2 linked regions of the Notamacropus eugenii genome follow. The main gene of each other region encodes a partner of the protein of the gene in region 2 in a complex. Links are inferred from orthologs where the notes say so. Each region holds a gene or a part of one and is shown on either strand. Other genes may lie near its edges.

Region 1 (10,887 bases), on a different chromosome or scaffold from region 2:
CGTTACTGTCAGCTGGTTAAAACTGTTTCCCAACCTGTCCTCAGGGTTAGGGGGGATGCCCAGGTCTCCTGTGCGAAGTTTGCGAGTCAGGTCTTCTATCTGCAGTTGCACTGGAAGAAACCAGGTTAGGAAAGAAAAAAAGGATGGAAAAAAGACAATGTTACCAAAAAACATCTCAAATCTCAACATCAAAGCATGAAGAACTTGGAGACTTTGAAAGGGATGACTGACCAGGGAACAAACTGAGGAAAACCCCCAACCACCTACCAATCATATACTTCGGCAGGAATCCATTTATATCTCTAGCTATTTTTCTCTTCAGAGAAGGTTATCAATTGGGAAGCAAACAGTTTGTTGGAAGAGGTGTTAGCAATAAAGGCTGCCTAATGACTACAGCTAACAACAAAACAGTTCGTGGGGAGCTGAGATGTTTCTGCTCTACCTGTCCCAGTAACAAAAGCTTGCTCCAACTGGTAACAGAAATAAATCGTGGATGCCAGCAATACCCACCCCACCATATTATTCTCTTCAGGGTCAAAGTCTTTTTCCTTTTTTTCCATTAAAACAAGTAACGTGGTCTGTGCTGAGGACCAATTAATGAATGCAGGTACAGAAAGTGATACCAGTTGAGCAAAGATCATTTCCTTTCCAGTGTGGATTGTGCTACTGGGCATATTGAGTGTCCTTCCAAATCCCCTTAAGATAATCCAGAAATTCACAAACATCCTATTGCATACTACCCGGCCCATCCATATTAGGTAAAGCTGCCAATATACCTGCTATTCAAGTGTTAGATAACAAGCGATATACATAAATAAACCAATAGTCACAGATGCAAGAATTGTTTTTGGTTTTGTTTTTTACCACAAAGGTTTTAGGGGGACAGGCACAAAGGGCAAAAGGGAGTAACATGTGACCCCCCACCTTGGCTGTCGACATTTGAGGCTGTACAGAAGAAAGGAAGGTGAGGGTTTCACAATCGGAATAATGATAATAATCTACCAGTGGCTCTGAGCAACATTACTTGATTTCAGAGATAATGAGACCTGTAGTGCCTGGGGACACAATACCATTTTCCCCAAAGGTGTTTAAATAATCACCTACTTCTTACCTTTAAACCAACCAAGGGCAAAGGCCTGCAGAGCTTTTAATTGAATGGGACTAATAATGTACTTCCAACTCAAAGTATCTAGTTTCTTCTCTGCCACAGAAAAATCTCCAAGTCCAAACAGCCCAGGCTAAGTAGCCCAAGGTGAGATTCACCTTCATGATTATATTTTACTTACTGTACATTTTTACCTACTGAAATGTGGGTATGGGAGACAAGAGACAGAGTTTCCCTTGGACTTCTGGATAAAGCCCAAGACACTAATGACTTTAATGCAATTCCCTCCACCAGTGGTTGGTGGTGACTTAAGTTCTGTGGTTTGGGGTTAGCTAAGTTCTACCCTGGATTGCCCTTTGACTCTACACTGATTGCTGCTGTAAATAACTCTGGGGCTTTGTCCATTAACAACCAAGGGAGCCCAAGGTAAGGAGGAGTCAATAGAGCTGGGCTGCTGTCCAAGAATAAGGGCACAACTCTCCACTAGAGGGCAGGTTTTCCAGTCAGAAGGCCCGCATCTGGAGTCATGTGCCGGCCCCAAGAGGCCAAAACTCTCAGGTTCACAAAGGCAGAAAAAAAAAATTCATGGCACAGCCCCAAGAAAACACCTTTGCTGACTGCCTTAAAGAGGCTTCTGGATCTATTTAAAGCCACAGCCTCCTTAATGAAAAATGAATTGTTTAAACTGATTTTTTTTTTGACACCTGCACAAGTTGGCAAATAAACACAAAATTCTTGCATTAAAACCTTATATCAAAACATGAGACAAGTCACTTTGAAGTTTCAAACTTCAACTGCAATGTGGTAGAATTATTCCCAATACAGAGATAAATCTTTTAACACTTGAAATATCCTATCTCCCCATGTAATATTAGACTTTTTCAACTACCCAAGGCCAGCTCCATTCCCAAGCAGTATTCCTTTCCCAGCAAAGTTCTTTGTGAGCAAATACAAATGCCTTAGTTTAAAACAGTTCCAGAGACCAAACCAGAACAGATGCTGAAGGGAAGGTTAAATTTCTGGAACCAAATGTTAAGTAAAGATAAACCACCACCAAATTTTCTCTTAAGCACTTATGACGTTAAAATTCAGCTGTTACAGGTTTTTCTGCCCCTTTCAGGCCACACCATGGTACCATTGTGGAAGACGCTATATTTCTTGGGTAAAGAAAGGACCACTCGCTTCCACAAGTACCTGCTGACTGGGGTCCACTGGAAACCCTCACCTAAGAGGCCTCATTTTCCCCCCCTTTCTCCCACCTCTTTAAGTTCACTAAGCAGAGAAAATGTTTTGAGGGAAAATGAAGGTAGGGCTAATATTCTGTCCCAGGGATTCTACTACCCCCTATACACACACCTTCCTGGCACCCACGGAGAACCTGGCTGTCATGAACAGATGGGGACCGGGCTCAACAGTACAGTACTGGTTAAGCAAAAACTCGTGAGTTAAAACGTTAAGCAGTCATACCTGACAATAGCCCAAATCTTGAAAATGTAAATTTGTAACACTTCGTTCAGCAGTCAGTGACATTTCTCAGATGAACTAGAACGTGATTCAATATGTTTGCATGTAGAACGTGTATTTACCTATATAAGCTCTTTCTTGCTCCCTTGTAAGTCCAGGGGGGATGACAGTCGGCATTCCCGGAATCACCGTCTTCTGTTCCATTGTATCCTGGTTCCATCGGCTCCTCTTCCGCTTCTTATTTGGGAAATCTGAAGGCAAACGTGGTTCGTTAGACCCAAACAAAATCTATGAGCCCGCAAGCGTATACCCTACCGTGAGCCAAGGGAGCCCAATCGTGGCCCAAAAGTTGGATCTCCACCCGCCACCAACAATGAAAAAGCAGCCAGGAGAAACCTCAGGGGACCCCCAATTTAACCCTGGGTCACTACAAACTCCCAGACATTGTGGTGACCGGGACTTGACCAGGGACTGGACGAGGACCACTGGCTCACAAGGCTTCCCTCTCAGAGCCTCCTCTAACAAAGGGGGGGGGGCATTTGGGTAACCCTGATGCCCCCCCATCAGAGCACAGCCAGGCCCAAGGCTCAGCCCCCCCATACAGCCAAGGGCAGGCCCAGGAAGGGCGGCGAACCACCCTCAGCCCCCCCCCCCCCCCCCCGCACCCCGCTCTCACCGCCCAGGCGGCCCAGCATGGCCGAGGCTCCTCTGTGGGCCGTCAGCCCTCCTTCCTCACAGACCTATCTCACCCCATACGGGGCGGGGGCGCCCCGGACCCCTCCCTCTCCACCCGTCCACCTGGAGGCGCCCGCGGTGGAAGCTGCCCCCGCTCCAGCCCCCTTCCCCCTTCGATTGGCTTTCAAAGACGCGCAGGCGCACCAAAATGCCCCGGCTCGGCCTGCCAAGCGGACGGCGCCTGCGCACAGTGCTTCCGCCCCTGCCCTGCCCCCCCCTCCCGGCCTGCAGAGGACGGCGCGTGCGCGCCCTCCGCTCCCTGGCTCGGGCTGCGCGCGCAGGCGGCGGCGGCGTGCCCCCCAGCTCGGCCCCCCTGCCCCCTCCCTCCGTCCCCCCGCTGCGCGCGCGCCCCCGCCCGCCCCCGCCGCCGCGAGCCGCCGCCGTGGTGTCGCGCGCCCCTCGGGCGGCCGGCCTGTCCGCGCGCCGCCGGCCTCTCTCGCTCGCTCTCAGCGTCCGACTCACCTCCTCCCCCGCCGGCCGGGCCCGGCTGCGGGTCCTGGAGCGGCTGCGGCGGCGGCTGCGGCGGAGACACGTGCTGGAAGAGCGGCGGCGGCTGGGGCGGCTGCGGCGGAGGAGGCGGCGGCGGCGGCGGAGGGGGAGGCTGCGCCTGCGGCTGCGGGTACGCGGGGCCCGGCGGCGGGGGCGGCTGCGGCGGGGGCCCGGAGGCCGGGCCGGGAGTGGCGGCGGGCGGCGGCGGGGGCGGGGGCGGCAGCGCCGCGAAGGGGAAGGCCGCGGCCAGCGGCGCCGCCATCAGCCCGGGGCCCACGGGCCCCAGCGGCAGCCCCGCCCCGGGTCCCGGCCCGCTCCCCCCCGGCCCCGGCGGCGGCGGCGGCTCGAAGGCCCGCTTGGGCCCGGGCCCCGGGGGGAGGCCGGGCGGGGCCGCGGCCGGCGGGTGCAGCTTACCCAGCGGCGTGGCGTTCGCTCCGGTCGCCATGGCGCCCCCGGGGACCGGCGCCGGCAGCGGCTGGGGCGGCGAGGGCGGCTCCGGGGCGGCGACTTGGGCTTCGCGAACCTTCGCGGGGCCGCGGCGCGGGCGGCGAGCCTCCTCCGAGCGGACCGGACCGCACCGCACCGCGGAGCGAGCGCGAGCTCCTTCCTCTCACGCGGCGGGCGCGGCGGCGACGACGGCGGGCGGGCGGCGCGAGACGCACAAAGAGGGAGGAGGGGGGCGCCGGGGACCAGGGGGCGGGCCAGCGGACCGGCCTTCCGCCGCCGATTGGTGGACGTTAGGTCCAGGGCTGGGATGGGAGCGCTCGGATTGGCGGAACTGCGGCCGGGCGCTGGGTGAGCCGGGATTGGCCCGAGCCGTTAGGAAGAGAGAGGAAATGGCGGCGGGGATGGGAGGGGGCGCGGTGCGCTCTACATTTGTTACTGCGCGAACTGAGTTCTAGGCTACCTGGGGGTGGGGGTGGAGGCGAACTCTATGACGTCAAGGAGCAGCGGCCCTCTCATTGGCTGAACTGAGTACAGTCCATCAAGCGCAGAGGTGGGTCGGGATTGGCTGCACCGAGTTCTCGCCTCTCGCCCCGCCCCCCTCACCCTGGGGAGCAGTTTCCCCCTGATTGGAGAAGAGGTCACGGCCTCGGAGTCGGCGCCAGGCCGGGGCTGGGGCGGGGGGGCGCATGCGCACGGAGCCCCATGGCCTCGGTAGCTGGGCCGACTCTGGTTGCAGAGGTGACCCGCCCCTCTCTGGCTTAGAGATGCTCCCGGACCTTGGCTAAGTGCTTTGCCACGTGATCTCAGGTCCCGCCCCCCCTCGCCCCCCCCCGCTGACCTGAACGGAAGGGACCTAAGTGTCCATCCCTGTCTAGACAGGGAAACTGAGGCACAGAGGTGGCCAGGCCGCCTAGCCCAAGACCACGACCTCCCGGACAAAGGTCTGGGCAGCCCAGGAACTTGATTTCCTCTTCCGCCACAGTGCTGCTCCCCCCACCCCGTCCCTGGCCATCCCCTCTGGTTTTGCTGGGGGCGGGGAAGGGCGCGATGACGTCATTGCCCCGCCCCACGATCCCCGCCTCAGCGCCACCCTCCCCTCTATACCTACCGGACCCATTTGGACCCACGCAGCCCCTTGTCCTGGGGTGGAGACCCTCCCTGGCCGTGGCGGGATTCCGCTCCTTCCACCCCCCATGCTGGCTCCTCCCGCTCATAGCTGGGGACCTGGCCCCTAATTATCTCACCACCCTTCTGGCCCTTCTCCTTGCCAAGGCTGCCCCCTCTCACTCCCCCCGGGCTAGCGCCTCCATCAGCCCCCTTCCTTCTGCCTGCAGACGTGCTCACTCCTCCCCTTCCCCAAAAAAACCTTGCTCTGGAGGTGAGGGGGAACCTGCAGCCTCGAGGCGCGGGGCGGGAGGCCCCTGCCCTAGACCGGACCACCCCCCCACTGTTCTCCCTTTCTCAACCTCTCTGCCCCTGTCCTCCAGCTGAACCCCGGCCCTCTCCAGAGTCCCCCGTGCCCTATTTGTGCCAAGCCTGTCTTTGGCCTTTGATGCTGTGGACCATGCCCTTCTCCGGCTTATTCTTCTGAATCTCCCCACCCGCGTTGTGGGATCTGACCTTGGGGGTTCCTCCAAGACTTGGCCCTGGGCCGGGCTGGCTTTTCCCTTTACAGCCTCTCACTTGGTGATCTCAGCAGTCCCCATGGACCTGGCCCAGGCCCTTCCCTGAGCTTGTCTCACGTGAGACGTCTCAAACTGAATGTCCCAAAGACCTCTCAGACTCAGCCTCCCCTCCCACATGTCCCTATTTCGGTTCGAGACTTCCTAACCTCGGGAAAGGCTCGCTCTCCCTCGCTGCACAGATCCAACCAGTTGCCAGAGCTTGCCATTTCCACTTTCACAACCACTGACACCTTTTTTTCTACCCTGGAACCTACTAGCTTAATTCAGACCCATATCACCCTGAAGTCATTTCCCCTGAGTCAATCCATCCAACAAATCCATCTCCCACCTCCATGTCTTTGCCTTGGCTATCCCTTATGCCTGAAATTCGCTCCTCCTTAAAGAGTCCCTTCTCTGTCTTGAAAACCAAGCTTGAACCCCATCTTCCTCTCTAAACATTTCCTGACCCCTTCCTTCCACAGGATGTCGCATATATTTGTATTTATTCACATTATATTTATGCCCTATTCAGGGGTGGGGGACTTGCAGCCTCGAGGACACATGTGGCTTTCTAGGTCCTTGAGGCGGCCAAAAGACTTGTTTACAGAACAAATCCTTTTATCAAGGGGATTTGTTCTGTGAAGTTTGGATCAGCAAGAGGGCTGAACTTGAGGACCTAGACCCTGCCCTATATCTTTTCATATGTACTTAAAATCTCCCCATTTTCTAATATCTAGCATTCATTTCTTTTGTACTTGTACTCCCAGGACCAGATCTTTAGTAAAAACTTCATAAATGCTGGTTGATTTTATTGTTACATCTAAGATCAAATATAAATTCTTCAGCTTGGTATTTAAAGCTTTTCACAGTCTTGTTGTTCAGTTGTGTCAGGTTTTTCATGTCGAGATATTAGATGGTTTGCCATATTCTTCTCCAGTTCATGTTACAGATGAGGATACTGAGGTAAATAGAGTGAGGTGACTTACCCAGGGTCCCCCAGCTAGGAAGTATCTGAGGCCAGATGTGGGCTCAGGAAGGAGTCTTCCTGGCTCCAGACCTAGCCGCTTCACCCCCCTTCCCTGGTCTCTGGCCACCCTTTTGGACTCTGACATTTACAGCTGTTCCAAGAACAGACCCTCCCTCTCTTGGCTCTTGCCATTCTCTCTGGCTGTCTCTCAGGCATCCTACTGGAAACCTTCCCCAGCCCCTTAGTTAATTAATTCCTATTTATCCTGTCTAGGGCTCATTGGTATGGGATTGGTTTCAAGTTTTCTCACCCATTCAGCCAGGAGCCCCTCCAGGGCAGGGGCTGACTTTGGTCTTTCTTTGTATCCCCAGCACTTAGCACGGACTTGGCACTTAGCAGGTGCTTCATTGGGGTTGCCCAATTGTTGCCTTAACTAGGTGAGAGAATGGAGGAGTGAGCATTAACTTCCTTAGAACCATTCCAAACTGGGAGAGACTGGGTTATTCCATAAGCAATTTGTCTAAGTAAGAAAGAGAAAATCTCTGAGGAGGAGGGGGACAAGACAGGACACCAGGGAGGAAATTCAGAAGGTCTGGATTTCCGAGGTCGGTGCGAAGAGAGGAGGCCTAGGAAGTCCTGAGAAAAACAGGCCAGCCTTTTTCCAGCTCCCCCTTCTTCCATGCCTGGCGGTCCTCAAACACTCCCACGGGAAGGAAAGTTTTGTTACCTAAGTGTTTACAATAAACTGGATTAAGTTTGCAAGAGAAAGGAACCCAGCCTCTTCCAGGTAGGAGGGATTTTCCTGAGGGCTCAGAGCAATTGGAACTTTTCATCTGAAAACAAACGCAAAGCTAGAGAGGGGAGAAACCTGGGGACCTTAGAGCCCGTTTTATTGACTGCAAAATAAGTTAATTGCTTTGCCCAAGTGCTACCCCAACTTTCTGGTCTTCCAGGGTCCAGCCCACTGTCTCCCACCTAGTTCTATCTCCCACCTAGTTCTGTCTCCCACCTCCCTTGTCTTTCTGGGTCTAAGGTACACCCCACCCTAACACTCAGAAAGCACTTCAATGCTGGGTGACTGAATGATGAAGGGAATTCACATCTGTAAATCCTTCACAAACCTTAAAAGCAGTTGCTTAAACTTTTCTAACATGGAGCCAAACAACAGGTACTGCATGGTACATATAGTAGAGGTATAGACCAAGATAAGCACCAAGTAGAAAAGTCATTTGGGAGGGGGAGGCCTTAGAGACTGGGGTAGGGGGAGAGGAATGGTGCCCAGGAAAGGCCTCCTGCAGAGACAGTGCTCCATCTGAATCTTGAAGAAAGCCAGGAAGACCCGGAAGAGGCATCGGGAAACAGTCAGTGCACAGATGGGAATTAGAGTGGACCAGCAAGGAGGCCACTTAGGTCAGATCATAGAGGTCTGTGGACAATAAGGTCCAAGAACCAGGGACCAAGTTGGAAGGATTTGTATTTGATCCTGGAGGCAAGAGGTACTGCAGTCTATAGCAGTGTAGGACTGGCCTGGGTTAGACCTGCATTTTAGGAAAATCACTGGGGAAGGAACTGAGAAAAGATGATGCTCAACTTCCCCAGGTCACCAGAGCCAGCCAGAATCTGAGACTAGGAACTTTACCAAATGCATTCCAATAGATTTGCCGAGGATAGCAAATGGAAGAGTGTAGGAGGGTGTCTCATGCCCCCACCCCCTGGAATACAGCAGCTAACAAGATGTTCTACACCAGATAACTCTGTGGTGGAGAATATCTCCTTGATTGAGTTCTGGGAGCAAATATTTAAACTAAGTGTGAACAATCTTTAGATACCACTACTGAATCATTTAATTAATCAGAGCTATAAACTAGATGTGTACAAGAAGTGCTTCAGGCCACTGAATGAAATCAGATGGCAAGATGTATTAGGATTGATTAAAAATTCTAAATATAAAACTGCAAAATAATTACGAATGCCTTATGTAGGACATTCTGCAAAGATATAATCCAGTAAGACCTCACATGCTTCTTATCTGCAAGACTTCCTATTAAGTTTATTTTACAAATTTTGTTAAATAAGAAAATCATTTTTACTGAAATAAGTTGTAACTTGGAAAATGTTTAGTAGAATATAACAATCACCTATAAAGTTAATTTTTATGCTGGACTTTATTTGAATAAAATTTTGTAGTATTTGGTTGAATGCCAATAAACAGCCTTAAATCTGGTTCTGCATCAATTTCTGTGTTTTGATTTAAAACAAGAATAATGTCTTTTGTTCACACAAATAAGAGGTGGAAAATGGCAGGAGAATTTTATAAGTTTTCTGCTGAAAGATGGAAATTCATTTTTTTATTTCTAGCTGCCTAATCAATCATTGACAATTAATAGCTCATTAGAATATAAAGCATTTATTTATCTCCTGCCTTATCCCAAGTGTCGCATTAACTGGTAACTGTCCTCAGAGCACAGTTGCATATTTTTTTGTTTTTTTTAGCAGTGTTTGTGTGTAAACTAATCTTGGGAAGTGAAAGCTCTCTTCAGGCAGAGACTGTCTCTTTTTCCACAACTGGCGTACCAGTTACACTCTCATAGAAAGTACAGGAACACTGTCCAGTGTTGCTGCCTGGTCCAATTGAATATCCACTAGAGAAGAAGATAAGTTTAAACTTAACGTCAGCCTCTGGACTTCCGTGAGAGGCCACAGAAAGTGTTTTGATGGTCCATGACGGTTTCATCAGATGCCTTCCGGGGTGCTGCAAGAGGGCCAACCTGAGACTGTGATTATACAGCTGATGAGGTCTGATTACAGGGTGACAGAAGGGAATGAGGGAGCAGCACTGGGGCAGCCAGCAGAGTGCTGATGAGTCTGTGAGCACGCTTGCTTTCCACCATCCCTTGGGAGTCCATTTGCATTAGAATTTGAATCCTGGTGGTGACTTGAGAACAATTTGATGACAGGTTGAGAAACTGCAAGGACTCATCAGATGCCATCAGATTTTGCTGTAGCTGCAGCATGAACACCAAAAATTGTGTGCATGATCATGACAGTTTGGGGTCACTGCAGAAACAAACTCATGATGTCTCATGCACATGCTGGGTATCACCCAGGAAAAATATATTTGCAACATAATTGGACTATTATTTACCTCTCAAGGCTCCATTAAGGCATCTTTAGCACGTTTCCAGCTCCCAGAGGGGATTCCCTGAATTAGACACCCCTCTGGGCCTACACATGTCAGAGAAGCATTCTAGCAACTTCTTTCAAAAATTAATCTTTGAGATCACTTTGAGGACTATGATCAAAGGACAGCAGTGTGGGAGGGGAGTCACCCCAGAATTAGTGTCTCCATTCACTCCCCATTGACAGTGTCAGGAACATTAATGCAATCTGGCCACACTGAAAGGCATGTTTAGGGCGCATGACCCCTTCAAGAGGCTACAAAGATCTCAGTTCTTGGGGCCCAGCAGAGTGCTACACATGCTGCAGGGGGATGTCATGAGGAGTCCAGAAAAGGAGGCCACAGGAACAGTGAGTTGCCCCTTTGCCTTGTCATCCCTAGCTAGAGACCACTTTCCCCCGTATCTGTCGGGCCATGTGCCCCAGACTTAGAGGGAGAATGTCTGTGCCCCCTCGCAGATCCACCCAACTCAAAACGGATCACTTTAAATGGAACTGAAATCGACCTCTTTGTCAATTCCCACCCACTTTCTGGGGCCAAGGGGAAGAGGTAGAAGCCCTCTCCTGTGAGACAGCCCTTTGGATATTAGCAACGATCCCGTCCAGAGCCTTCAGAGGACAATGTTAAATGCTATTTATAAATACTATTAAATAATAGAATATAACAATATGTTTATAATAATATTAAAGAGGAGGATAGTCAGCATGTATGTGGCACAATGTGCCCAGCCCTGTGCTAAGCCCTTTGATCTTCACAGCAACCCTGGGAGGCAGGTGTTATTACTATCCCCATCTTACAGATAAGGAAACTGAGGCCAAAAAAAAGTTGACTTTTGCAG
Region 2 (10,876 bases):
GTCACAGAGTCTCAAACACTTAATATATGCATACCATGTACTTTGCTGAAAGCCTTCTGAAGATGCCTTTGGTTGTATTTCAAGTAGCAAAGGATACACTAAGTTTTAAGTCTAATTAGAAAATATACATGAAAGGAAAATGCCAACATATGTCACCAAAAAACAAAACAAACCAACAGAAGAGGCTCTAAAAGAGAAGAAAATCCTTTTGCCCCCTTTCCAGAAATATTCAACATACTCATTATTCAAGCAATAGTCTCTTTCAGTAGCTATTTAGAAGACTGATTAGTGGCTACTTAGAAGACTGATTATTTGCTTCTGTAAAGCAGAAAAAAATATTAGAAACGGAAAGACACCAATTTTGCATACTAACAGGTTATTTTATTAAGTTTAGCACTGTGGTCCACTCAAAACAAATAAATGGCACAAATGATTAAAAAAAGTGGCATAGCATTCTGATGACTTAACTTCTGGTTCCAAAGTGCTATTGCCTTTTTATAGGAACAATGTACAAACCCATATACGTGTCTATAAACCAGTTATCCCCATCCTCTCTAAAAGCCCTGGAAAACACAGATACACAAATTTAAGAAAGAAGTTAGATTATCTTCACTAATTTTTCTAATGCTCTCAAACAACATTTCCCAATATATATTTTGATTCAATTAGTCAGCTGGGTAGCACAGCAGACAGTGTGCTGGATTTGGGATTCAGAAAAGACTTGAGTTTAAATCCCACCTCAATTATTTAATAGCTAAGTAACCATGGGCAAATCATTTAACCTCTTGTGACCTCAGTTTCCTAATCTGAAAAGTGGGGATAATAATTAGCACTATTTTACAGAGGTATTGTGAGGAGCAAATGAGATAAACATATAGTCTGCAAACCTTAAAGTGCTATATAAATGCTATTACTATCACTGAGACCATTTGCGGGAAATGTAAGAATTGTAACTCTACTAATCTACCAAAGTGGCTTTGTGGTCCTTGTTTTCTTCTGAGTTTGCCATGGACTTTAAGCTTCCAGTTACTTTTTTGCTCTCACTTAATTTTTATGGTTACATTACAAAATAGTAATGGCAAGATTTTGAAAGACAACTTCCTGGAGTTAGACCTCAGTAATGATATATGGGACGTAGGCCTCAGATGAGAGGCTTAATCATTTCCTACTCTCTGGGTATGCCAAATAGCTCTGGTATCATAAATGACCTAAGAAGCAGAGATATAAACCAATCAACAAAGAAGAATTTTGTGAACATTGAAAAGAGGCAAGCTTTTCAACAAGATGAAGGATTAACTACAGGAGAATGAGTGATATGATAAATAAAAACAGACTCCACAGAAAGATGGCACTAGTCAGAGATCACAAGGCTGTGAGTCTATTATTCAGTAAAGCTGAAAACCAGCTTCTCCTATGGATAGAATCAGCCTTAAAAGGTTAGTAAATATGCTTCAGACTAACTTTAATAAGTGAGCCTTTTCACACTTTCAGAAACAGTAAAGGAGATATATTCAATATTGTAGGAAAACAACTTTAATGACTGGAGCCAGAGGAGCAATGTCTTCAACCATTTGGGAGGCCAGGGAGGTTTAGCTCAGAGCCAAAAGAAATCCTAGGAAACAGGCCGAGATATGATTCTGGGAAGGATTAAAAAATTTTTTTTCAAGATCTGGTAAGCATTTAGATCCTAAATTTCCTACATGATACTAAGTGTCATCTTTTTTTTGTTTTGCATACAATACCAACAAGGTTGAGGTTCAGAAGAATAGACACCTTATAATCTGTGCTTGCTGAGGTAATCTTTGTCTATATGATAACATATTGAAAATGTGTTTATTTCTATGATTTGGAGGGAAAGGTGTGATTTTCCTAGCTGTTGGTGTTTTGGTTTTTTTTTTTTTTTTTAAATATTAACCCTGTCTTGGCTCTAAATCAAATTATCCATATCTCATTTAGGACAGTTTAAGGCAATCAACTTCCTTGCGGCTAGTTAAGAGCCATCTAGTAAGGGCCTAGAAAGATCCTGTGAAGCTAGAGCAGAAAAAAAAGCCAGTAACTCCTTAGGGAAAATGGGAATAGTTGTAGACTTTGATAACTTAACCTACTCTCTCAAATACTTCTATCCAAATATACAAAAGTATAATGAGTACTTTTTCTACTTCTCATCCAGTGACAGAATAGTAATAAAATTTTCTATTTTGTTAGGGAAGGAGAAATGTATTCATTTACTGTTACATGATGAGTGTAAGTCACCTTACAAATACGATGTAAATACCAAAGAAAGGAAATACGTTAGTTAGGACTGAATGCTATTACTCCTTCATAGAACATGTTTTATCATTTGGTGTTAATCCCCTGACTTTGATTTGCACAATAAATTTCACATCTGGGAAGAAAGCAAAAAATCTGGTAAGCCAATTACCTATTTTGTTCATACCTAATAAACCAGTTTCTACACCATCTTCAGTCTTCAAATTCTCAGCATGCAATTCTGTAAATACAAAAGGAGGTTTAGATTGGTAAAAAAATTTAGTTCCTAATAAATCAGAAAGCACTTATTCATCAACTTTGTGAAAGGAACCTGGACTTTAAAAATAAAAAAAACCAGCCCTCAAGCTTATATTCTAGTAAGTGAAATAGGTATACATACAAAGACATACAAAGTACAAGGTAATATTGGAGGATGAGGGAGAGTTGTGATCAGGAAAAAACCTTGAGTAGGAATTCCTGAGTTAAGTGTTAAGCAAGGTTAAGGCTTCTAAGAGGTAAAGGAGTAGAAAGCTTCAAAAGCACAGACAGAACGTCACACGTAAAGGACAGTAAGGAGGCCAGTTTGCCTAATTTAAAGAGTTTTGAAAGATAGGACATGTAATAAATCTGGAAGGTAAGGTGAAGTATTTTTGTATCTCAAAGGCATATGATCTTTTGTGGAACATGTCAGACCTATGCTTCATTAATATCACTTTGGCAGCTCTGTGAAAGACTGAGAGGTGAGACGCTTAGAAGACCAATAAGGAGGCTTTGTAATAGGCCAGATAAGAGGCAAATGGCTGCAATGGAAAGAAAATTACAAGTAACAGATGCAAGAGCTTGGGGGGGCAAAAAAATTTTCATGACTAGCCAACTGACTGGATAAGGAAGATGAGTTTAGAGTGATTGTGAGCTCTTGTAAGGGGGATAATAATACCCTAACCACAAATAAGGAAATTCATTAAGAGGAAACAGCACTGACAGGAAACATCAGAGGAGTATTTGGGGGTGGAACTTAATCCTTCAAACATTATGATAAATTGTCTTTTCTGTATGAAACCTACCATGGACACTAGGTAGCAATGCCTTCCATTAGGAATCATGCAAAATGAGGGGGGACAAAGTGGATTCTGGATTGAGTTCCTAACAAAGATTTTTTTTCATTTTTATTTTATCTCTGCATCCTGACTTTCCTCAAGTCCCACCTTCTGTAAGAAGCCTTTACTAGTCCTAACTTTAGAGCCTTCCTTCTGAGATTATTTCCTATTTATCCTGTATACAATCTGTTCATACAGTTGTTTGTATGTTGTCTCCTCCATCAGACTATGAGCTCTTTGAGGAAAGGGGCTGTTTTTGGCCACATATTTATCCCTAGGACATAGCAAAAAGTAAATACTTATTGACTTGACTATATGTACACATAATCCTTGTAAAGTTTCACATAACTAAGGTAGGTAGGTACTACCTTCCTTTTATTTAAAAAAAAAAAAACAAAACTCCAGACATTGATAAGATAAATGGTCTAAATTCAGACTAGTGTTTCCAAACTTTTTTGATTCTGTATCTCTTATCAATAAAAAAATTTTTGAGCACCTACCCCTAATACACAAATTTACTTATTTATAAGTTATAAAGGTGCTACTGTACTAATTATCTATATTACAAAATTTTCACAATATGATGAAATAATATCTGATCCTATAATACAGAACTATAGGACCAAGTACAGGAGTGATATGCATGGTCAGACCAGCATTTCAGGATAATAATCCCTTTGGCAACTGTGTGTAGAACAGACTGGAGAAAAGAGATCTGAGACAAGAAATCAATTAGGAAGTTACTGCAACAGCAGGGGATGATGAAAGCCTGAAATACGGCAGCAGCTGGGGGTAGAGAGAAGGGCAGTTTCAACTGATGTTGTACTACCAGCTAATATAGTGCTCAGGTTTTAATTAGGCTATAACCGTCTAGAGCCCAAATAAGACCAAAAGGGAGAGACTGGGAGGGTGCATAGCTATGGAAGGAATCATATTGTTAGGCAGTAAAGGATGAAGAAGGGTTAGTATATCTGACTGGAAAACAATCCTAGGGAGGCAGGTGATTATGAAGTGGAGGGTGAGATGTGATCCATCTAACTACTGCTGGATCTCCACTACTAATTTTACTATGAAAGTGCTTGAAAAGTATTTGTTGGAAGTATAAGCCAATGAATTGCCATTTTTAAAAGAGCCCCTAACTCCAGCACTTCCATATCATTGGTTTTCCGACTTCCATAAAAGATGATAAAAAAAGATTTTTTAAAATGGCAATGACAAGTAATAAACTGAGCTAATAGCAGCTTCCATACAATGAAATCAGTATGCTTAATCGCTCTGGGACAGTAGTTGGTGAGTATCTGGGGGGCTCTATCAAATCTGGCCTCAGACTCTCCCCAGAGATGTCTTAACCCGGTCTGCCCGTTTCCTCCTCCGTAAAATGAGCTGGAGAAGGAAATGATAAACCACTCCAGTATTTTAACCAAGAAAATCCCAAGCGGGTTCCCAAAGAATAGAACACTGAGATGACTGAACCAGTGGGTCGGTAAGGTATCCGAGTATTAAGACCCCACCTCCCCACTCGCCCTCCGCAAACAAGCCTTTACCAGTCCTTCCTCTGAGACCGTCCCCCATTTTAACCTGTACAGACTTGAATCGTTTCCATCTAGTTTTCCCAGTATTAGACAGAGGTCCTTGAAGGCAGGGGCTGCCTTCTGCCTCTGTCACCAGCAGCACTTTGCACAGTGCCTGGACAAGTACTAGCTGACTAACGGACAAGCCGAGGTCCCACGCCCCTCCACTCGGCCGTCGGCCCGGCATTGCTCGGCGCCCCCACGCTCCCCGGGCAGTCCCAGTACCTTTCACGACCATGTAGACGATAGCTAGCAGGAAGGCAAGGAGGGCGGCGAAAAGAAGAGAACAGACCACCGACAGGACCCGCACCGGCCACCGCTGGCCACGGGGAGTTCGGGCGGCCTCCGGGACTCTCACGGTCACCCCATTCTGTTTCTGCAGCTGAGGCGGCGGCGTGTCCGCCAAGAGCTCCGCTCGCAGGTCCCGAACCACTTCGTCCACCCCTCCGTCCTCGTCATCATCCTCGCCTTCCCCCCAGCTACCCCCAACCTGGGAGGGGGAGGCGTTGGCAGGCAGGACCAGGGAGGCCGGAGGCCCGAGTCCACGCTGGCGAATCGATCGGCTCCCACTAGCCAAGAACGACATGGCGGGAAAACGGACAACGGAACCCGGAAGCTCAGGGATTTCCTCCCTCCCCCTTCCCCCCATTAGCCAATTAGCGCCCCGAAGGCTCTCCGGGGCCTACCAAAAAAAGACCTGGGGGGAGCGCCCCAAGCATGGGGAGGGGGCCGCAAGAGCGCCCGGGAAAAGTGCAACGAGAAATGAACCCCACGCTGGGGACTGAGGGAGGAGGAAGGCAGAGGGAAGCAGGGGTAAACGGAGAAGAGGACGGGAGGGGAAAGCAGACATCTCCAACAGGACAGCGTCCCCCCCTCCCCCCACCGGCGGTGTAGGGTCCCAGCCCCCAGACCTCCGCCTCCACCACCGCGTAGCCTCCAGGCAAGCCGCGTGCCTCACGGCCCAGCAGGCCACTCCTAAGCCGCAAATTCGGGCGCTCGGTCCTAGCGCCCGCCGCCATTGCTGCCGTCCGCACCCCTCTGAAACCCCTTCCCTAGTCCGTCTGCTTTTTTCTTCCGTCGTCCCCTCTTAGGCACGCGAGGGGGCTTTCTCGTCTTCCGCCTACACGGCATCTTTAGCGCGCGACGGCCTGTCTCTTCTCTTGCCTAAACTGCTTCTTCCCATCCCCCTATTCGGCTTTCAACCTCCCCACTTCCACACTTCCCTTCTCGCGCAGTGCCGCGTCACGCTCGCCGCTCTTCACCCCGGCCATCGCGTGCTTCGCCAGTCTCGCGCTTTCTCACCCGGTGCCTTCCGCGTCCACGAGCCCCCTCCTCTTCCCCTCCTCCCTCCCCTTTTCCTCCCCCCTCCCCCGCCCAACCTCGAGCGGCGCGCGCGCGCATCCTGTCCCAGCCACCGCTAACGCTAGAAGCTGCTTCCCCCCCTCCTGGCTCCCCGGCGGCCTCAGGTTTGTGGGGCGTGCGTAACTCGGGTGGGGGGTAAAGGCGGCAGCCCCCCCACTGCCCCTCCCCCTACGGGGTGAGGTGGCTGTTAGGCCCGGGAGGCTGGGGCCTACGTACTCTTCTCTTCCCCGGGGGAAGTTGGTGGAGTTTTCCCGGCGGGGGACTCGGCGCAGAAACTTCCTCCGTCCCCCTCCCCCCCTCCATGCAGGCGACGCCGAGCGAGGCCGAGGCCGGGGGCGAATCGCCGCAGAGCTGCGTGCAAGCTGCGCGCTCTGATTGGACGGCGGGGAAGCCAGTCAGCTTATTGGCCCCGCTGATCCCGCCCCGCAGCTCCGGGCAGCCTCTACCCTTTGGCCCCAGCGGGCGCCAGCCACTCAGATCGCTCCTTGTTGGAATGTGTAGCGGCAGCGGCCGCCGCCGGAGCAGCCTCAGCCCGACGATGAGGCCGGGGACGGGAGTCGAGCGTGGAGGCCTCATGGTGAGTGAAATGGAGAACCGCCCTCCACCGCGGGGTCCCGGGAACGGGGAGCGGAGACTGTCCAGCTCGAGCCTCTGCTCCAGCCCATGGGCCTCTGCGGACGGCTACCTGAGGAGACGGCCCTCGGTAAGGGAGCGGTGGGGCGGGGGAAAAGCGGCACAATGAAAAAAAGAAACAGGAAGCCTTCTCCCTGTGGGGAAGAAAAAAAAAGGTGGACGGAGGAGAAGGCCTGAGGTGGCGGGATCTGGCTCTGACGGAGGGAAATGGAGGGCGGAGTAGCACAAAGGAAAGGCTGTGGGTCCCTGGGAGGTGGGTATTACTGTGGCGAAGATGGAGGAGGGAGCTCTGGACAGAACTGGTGGCTGGGTGGTGGCAGCAGAAGTCTGCTTTGGGGTGCAGGCCTGATTTGGCCAGGATAGTGAAGGGAGGAATGTGACTTGTAATGAAAGAAAGGAAAGAGTGAGCAAAGCTGGGTTGAGTTGCTAAGCGTGTAATTACTTTGTGTGATTGGGCACCTTTGTGGCCTAAATAAATTATTTGGATTTTATAAACTTAGTAAAGCAGGTACTCTTTCTATGGCACTTTTTGTACATAGCTTGCCGAATGGCCAACCAGCAGTAGTTATTTACTTTTAGAGCTGAAAGTGGTATGAAGTAGCTTTTCAGAGAGACAGAATGTTTTGATCTACCTTAGTAAGAATTTTTCGGGGAAATGACAGGTTTGACATTAGAAAAACAACCACAGGTAGCTTTTGTAGTATTCATTGAACCTTTTAAAATAACCCGTCATTTATTTGTAAGACAAAATAATTTAGTCTAAAATTTAAAAGCCGGCCTTGATACATAGGCAGAATAATAATGAGTTCTTTTCTTCCCCAGAATTGGTCTTAAAATGAGTTTTTCGTTTCCTTGGCATACTATATTTTAGCGCAGTAACTTACTAAGATACTAATTCTTTTTCGTCATTTTTGATTATCCATAAACAGGCAGTTTTTCTCCTCACTCTTCCCTCCCTTATAAAGTCCATATTTTATAAATGGTTAAGTCTCAAGTTCCTCAGTGTTGCCAAATACCTTACCACCTTACTTCAGTGATAACAATTCTTGATGCTTTGGGGGTGGGAAGACTTTATTGTTAATTGATGTTTTCTTCACTAACACTGTTTTTCAGATGGGACACCCTGGCATGCATTATCCACCCATGGGAATGCACCCTATGGGTCAGAGAGGAAATATGCAACCTGTACCTCATGGAATGATGCAGCAAATGATGCCCCCTATGGGAGGTCCTCCAATGGGACAAGTAAGACAGTTTTTAAAATTATATTTGCTTTGTAGCATTACTGTGATAAATAATTTAAAGCTTGGATAAGTGTTAGTAAATGAGTCTAAGATTCATATTTCCCCAAAAACACATTCAAAGGTTTCAAGTGAAATGAAATGTCGAATTCTGTCCGTAACCAGAGTTTTTGCTGTATTGAGGCTGTCGTCCACATAAAAATGCTCATCATTTCCATTTTGAATAGCAGTTTTTTGGTAGCTTAAAGGTTATGTTTTTAGTTGACTGATTGGATCTTTTCAGGCAAGTCAATTTTGTCTTATGCCCTAGCTGCAAATCTAGAAACTTTCTGTTCATTTCACCATGTCTTTTGTGGGTTACCCAACTGAGGTAAATGTATATAAGAATAGGAAAACCTACATCAACAACTTTGTTTAGGTGTTTGCCTTAGAATTTGAGTGTTATCGCATTTTTTGATACCAGAACAGTCTTCTTGCATTTTCCTGTTCCACATTGCTAATTTTCTGTAGGACATTTTTATTTTGAATTAAGAAAGTGCTTGTTGATTTTCTTCACTCCTATTGATGAACTATCCCTTCTCTCTCTAGTATAAATTGTAAATAGGAGTGATTTGTATCAGAAAGCTTCATTAGTGCTAACTCAGTGACCCTGTAGTGTTCTAATCAGGGAGAGTAACTAAATTCAGTAATTGTGACTGATATTTATACTTTAAGTCTGTTAGATGCTATGTGAAATATAAGTAGCTGGTTTCTCTCCATAAGAGTCTTGATATTGAAAAGTCATCAGAAATCTAGATTGTAATATCACATGGAGGCAATCAAGGGTGCTGAGTATGATCTTTCTCTAGTTAGTTTTGTTTAGTTTGATATTTGTTAAAAGATCATTGTTCATAGTGAAATTGCATAGCAGCCAGGAAGGAAAAAGAGTCCCTTTTTTTTTTTATTTTAAATTAAGAATAGAAAGGTTTATCACAAATACTTTTCTTCTGTGTAGTTTTTCTATAGTTAAACCAGTAAGTGGTTTAAAACTCTTTATTCAGAAGTATCTGGCCGAAGAGACTGGCTCTTTGCCTGTAGCATCTCTTTAAATAACTGAGCCATTGGCCTTCTGACCTAGGAACAACATAAGTTTCAAAATTCTCTTGGTGGTGGAAAAACAACTCTGTGATCCTTCTTCTGTTCCTTACAATCTCCCAAGCAGCAAGGAGCTCTTGGTTTCTTGATAGAGCTGCTCTAACTAGATATTGAGCTTTTAAAAAATATTTATTCTTTAAATGCTCTGGTTCTTATTTAAAATTAGTTTCTTTCCACAGAAAGATAAAATAAAACAATTTGCTACTGCCAGATGCTTCTCTCTTTTCTGGGGCCTTCTGTTTCCATTGGGCCAATCAAGGTAAGTTATGCAAGGGATTGACCTGCTTTTACCCTTGCTATGGTGCTATGGCACTATTTTTCAAAACCAAGACACTAGTTAGTCATTTTTTAATTAAATGCAAAGACTTTACCTTTTTATAATTGTTTTGGTTTGTCTTAGTATGCTGTCAGCTGGTCACAGTTTACCTTAAGGCCTTTCTCGTTTAGATGCTGAAGTGACCACTATCTTTTGGGGTTTATTTCCCAGTTAATTACATACTCTTTCAGACATTGGACAGTTGTGCTTTGTGGTTTTTCCCACGTTCTCTTCCAAAAGCCACCATGTCATGTGCTTGCACATGTCATTTGATTGCTCAAATTTTGAGGAGTCCATCTCTCTACTGACTCCTGTAAATATAACAAGTGGCTGTCTCAGGAATCTTCAACTCTGATCCACAGAGAGAATCTCATTCCATTACTTGCCGTAGATACTTATAGATGCTCCTATTTTTATTGATGTCTTTAGAATTTAAAAATGGAGCCCTGGATCTTGGCACAGCCAATTCTTGGTTATCAATGGTAACAGGAGACAGAGACAGCATGGATAATTAAAATCCATGGATGATTCAAATACTCCATTTAAACCCACACACTGTTAAACCACCAAAATATTACTAATAAATGGCAAAATTGTTTCACTTTTCATCTTCTTTCATTTCACTTGCCCATCCTCTGTAGAGGTATTCATGAGCAGTGAAATGGCTGGAAGTAAAAAGAAGTAAAAGCAAAGGACCTGTATGCATCGGAGTGCCAAAGTTGCGGGGGCGGGGTTTCTATCATATAGTTTAACCATTTCTGCAGTTTGATTAATAAAGTTTTGTCTTTGGGACTTAGAATTTGGGGAGTCTAGCTATGTGGTGGCTACTCTTCATATTTCATCCTAAGGTTGATTTGTAGGCTATGTGAAAAGCTAAAGTTGATGGCAGTCTTACATGTTCAGTACAAGTTAATGTGATTGATTTATGAAGTAAACTTCTTAAACTTTTTTTCTTATTTGCAAAATATTTCCTTAAAATTGGTTGAGAGAAAATCTAAAGATTTTCACTGCAACTTCATTCCTAATTCACATCAAAAAAGGCAGGAGGGGATTTGGCTTCATATGTTATACTTTAAAACATCAGTCCTTGCCCTTCATGATACTCATGAACCAAATTAAATGGGCTCAGTTATCTTATCTGCTCCTCGATAGTAAATTGAAAAACATTGAGCTAGTTTGTTTTTGACTCTTTCATGTTTGCTGTTGTCATTTCTCAGGTCCACTCGTTGGTTCTTCCTACTCCCAAATTAACATAGCTGTATGGTTGGTTAC

The links. Proteins that work in one complex are often made in the same cells at the same time.
Region 1: the proteins of PRPF40A (region 2) and SF1 are in contact, whole or in part, in an NMR structure (PDB 8PXX), measured with the Homo sapiens proteins. The link is inferred for Notamacropus eugenii from reciprocal best matches to the Homo sapiens genes PRPF40A and SF1. Residues at the interface, in NP_001352526.1 of Homo sapiens: His164, Ser166, Tyr172, Tyr174, Ser181, Thr182, Trp183, Tyr213, Tyr215, Ser222, Arg223, Trp224; in NP_004621.2 of Homo sapiens: Pro575, Pro576, Leu577, Pro578, Pro579, Gly580, Ala581, Pro582, Pro586, Pro587, Pro588, Pro589, Pro590.

The regions. Positions count from the first base shown.
Region 1 is NC_092873.1:17,540,128-17,551,014, forward strand, and holds the start of SF1 (splicing factor 1), read right to left. Parts: upstream 4,425-10,887; 5' UTR 4,239-4,424; coding exon 4,208-4,238; intron 3,897-4,207; exon of another isoform or gene 3,767-3,896; intron 3,424-3,766; exon of another isoform or gene 3,265-3,423; coding exon of another isoform or gene 3,246-3,264; intron 2,821-3,245; coding exon 2,692-2,820; intron 111-2,691; coding exon 35-110; intron 1-34. UniProt on the Homo sapiens protein: Necessary for the ATP-dependent first step of spliceosome assembly. Binds to the intron branch point sequence (BPS) 5'-UACUAAC-3' of the pre-mRNA. May act as transcription repressor.
Region 2 is NC_092876.1:210,020,410-210,031,285, reverse strand, and holds the start of PRPF40A (pre-mRNA-processing factor 40 homolog A), read left to right. Parts: upstream 1-6,322; 5' UTR 6,323-6,581; coding exon 6,582-6,983; intron 6,984-8,026; coding exon 8,027-8,158; intron 8,159-9,467; exon of another isoform or gene 9,468-9,499; coding exon of another isoform or gene 9,500-9,547; intron 9,548-10,876. Other genes in the region: ARL6IP6 (ADP-ribosylation factor-like protein 6-interacting protein 6), read right to left, coding at 2,423-2,491, 5,144-5,567.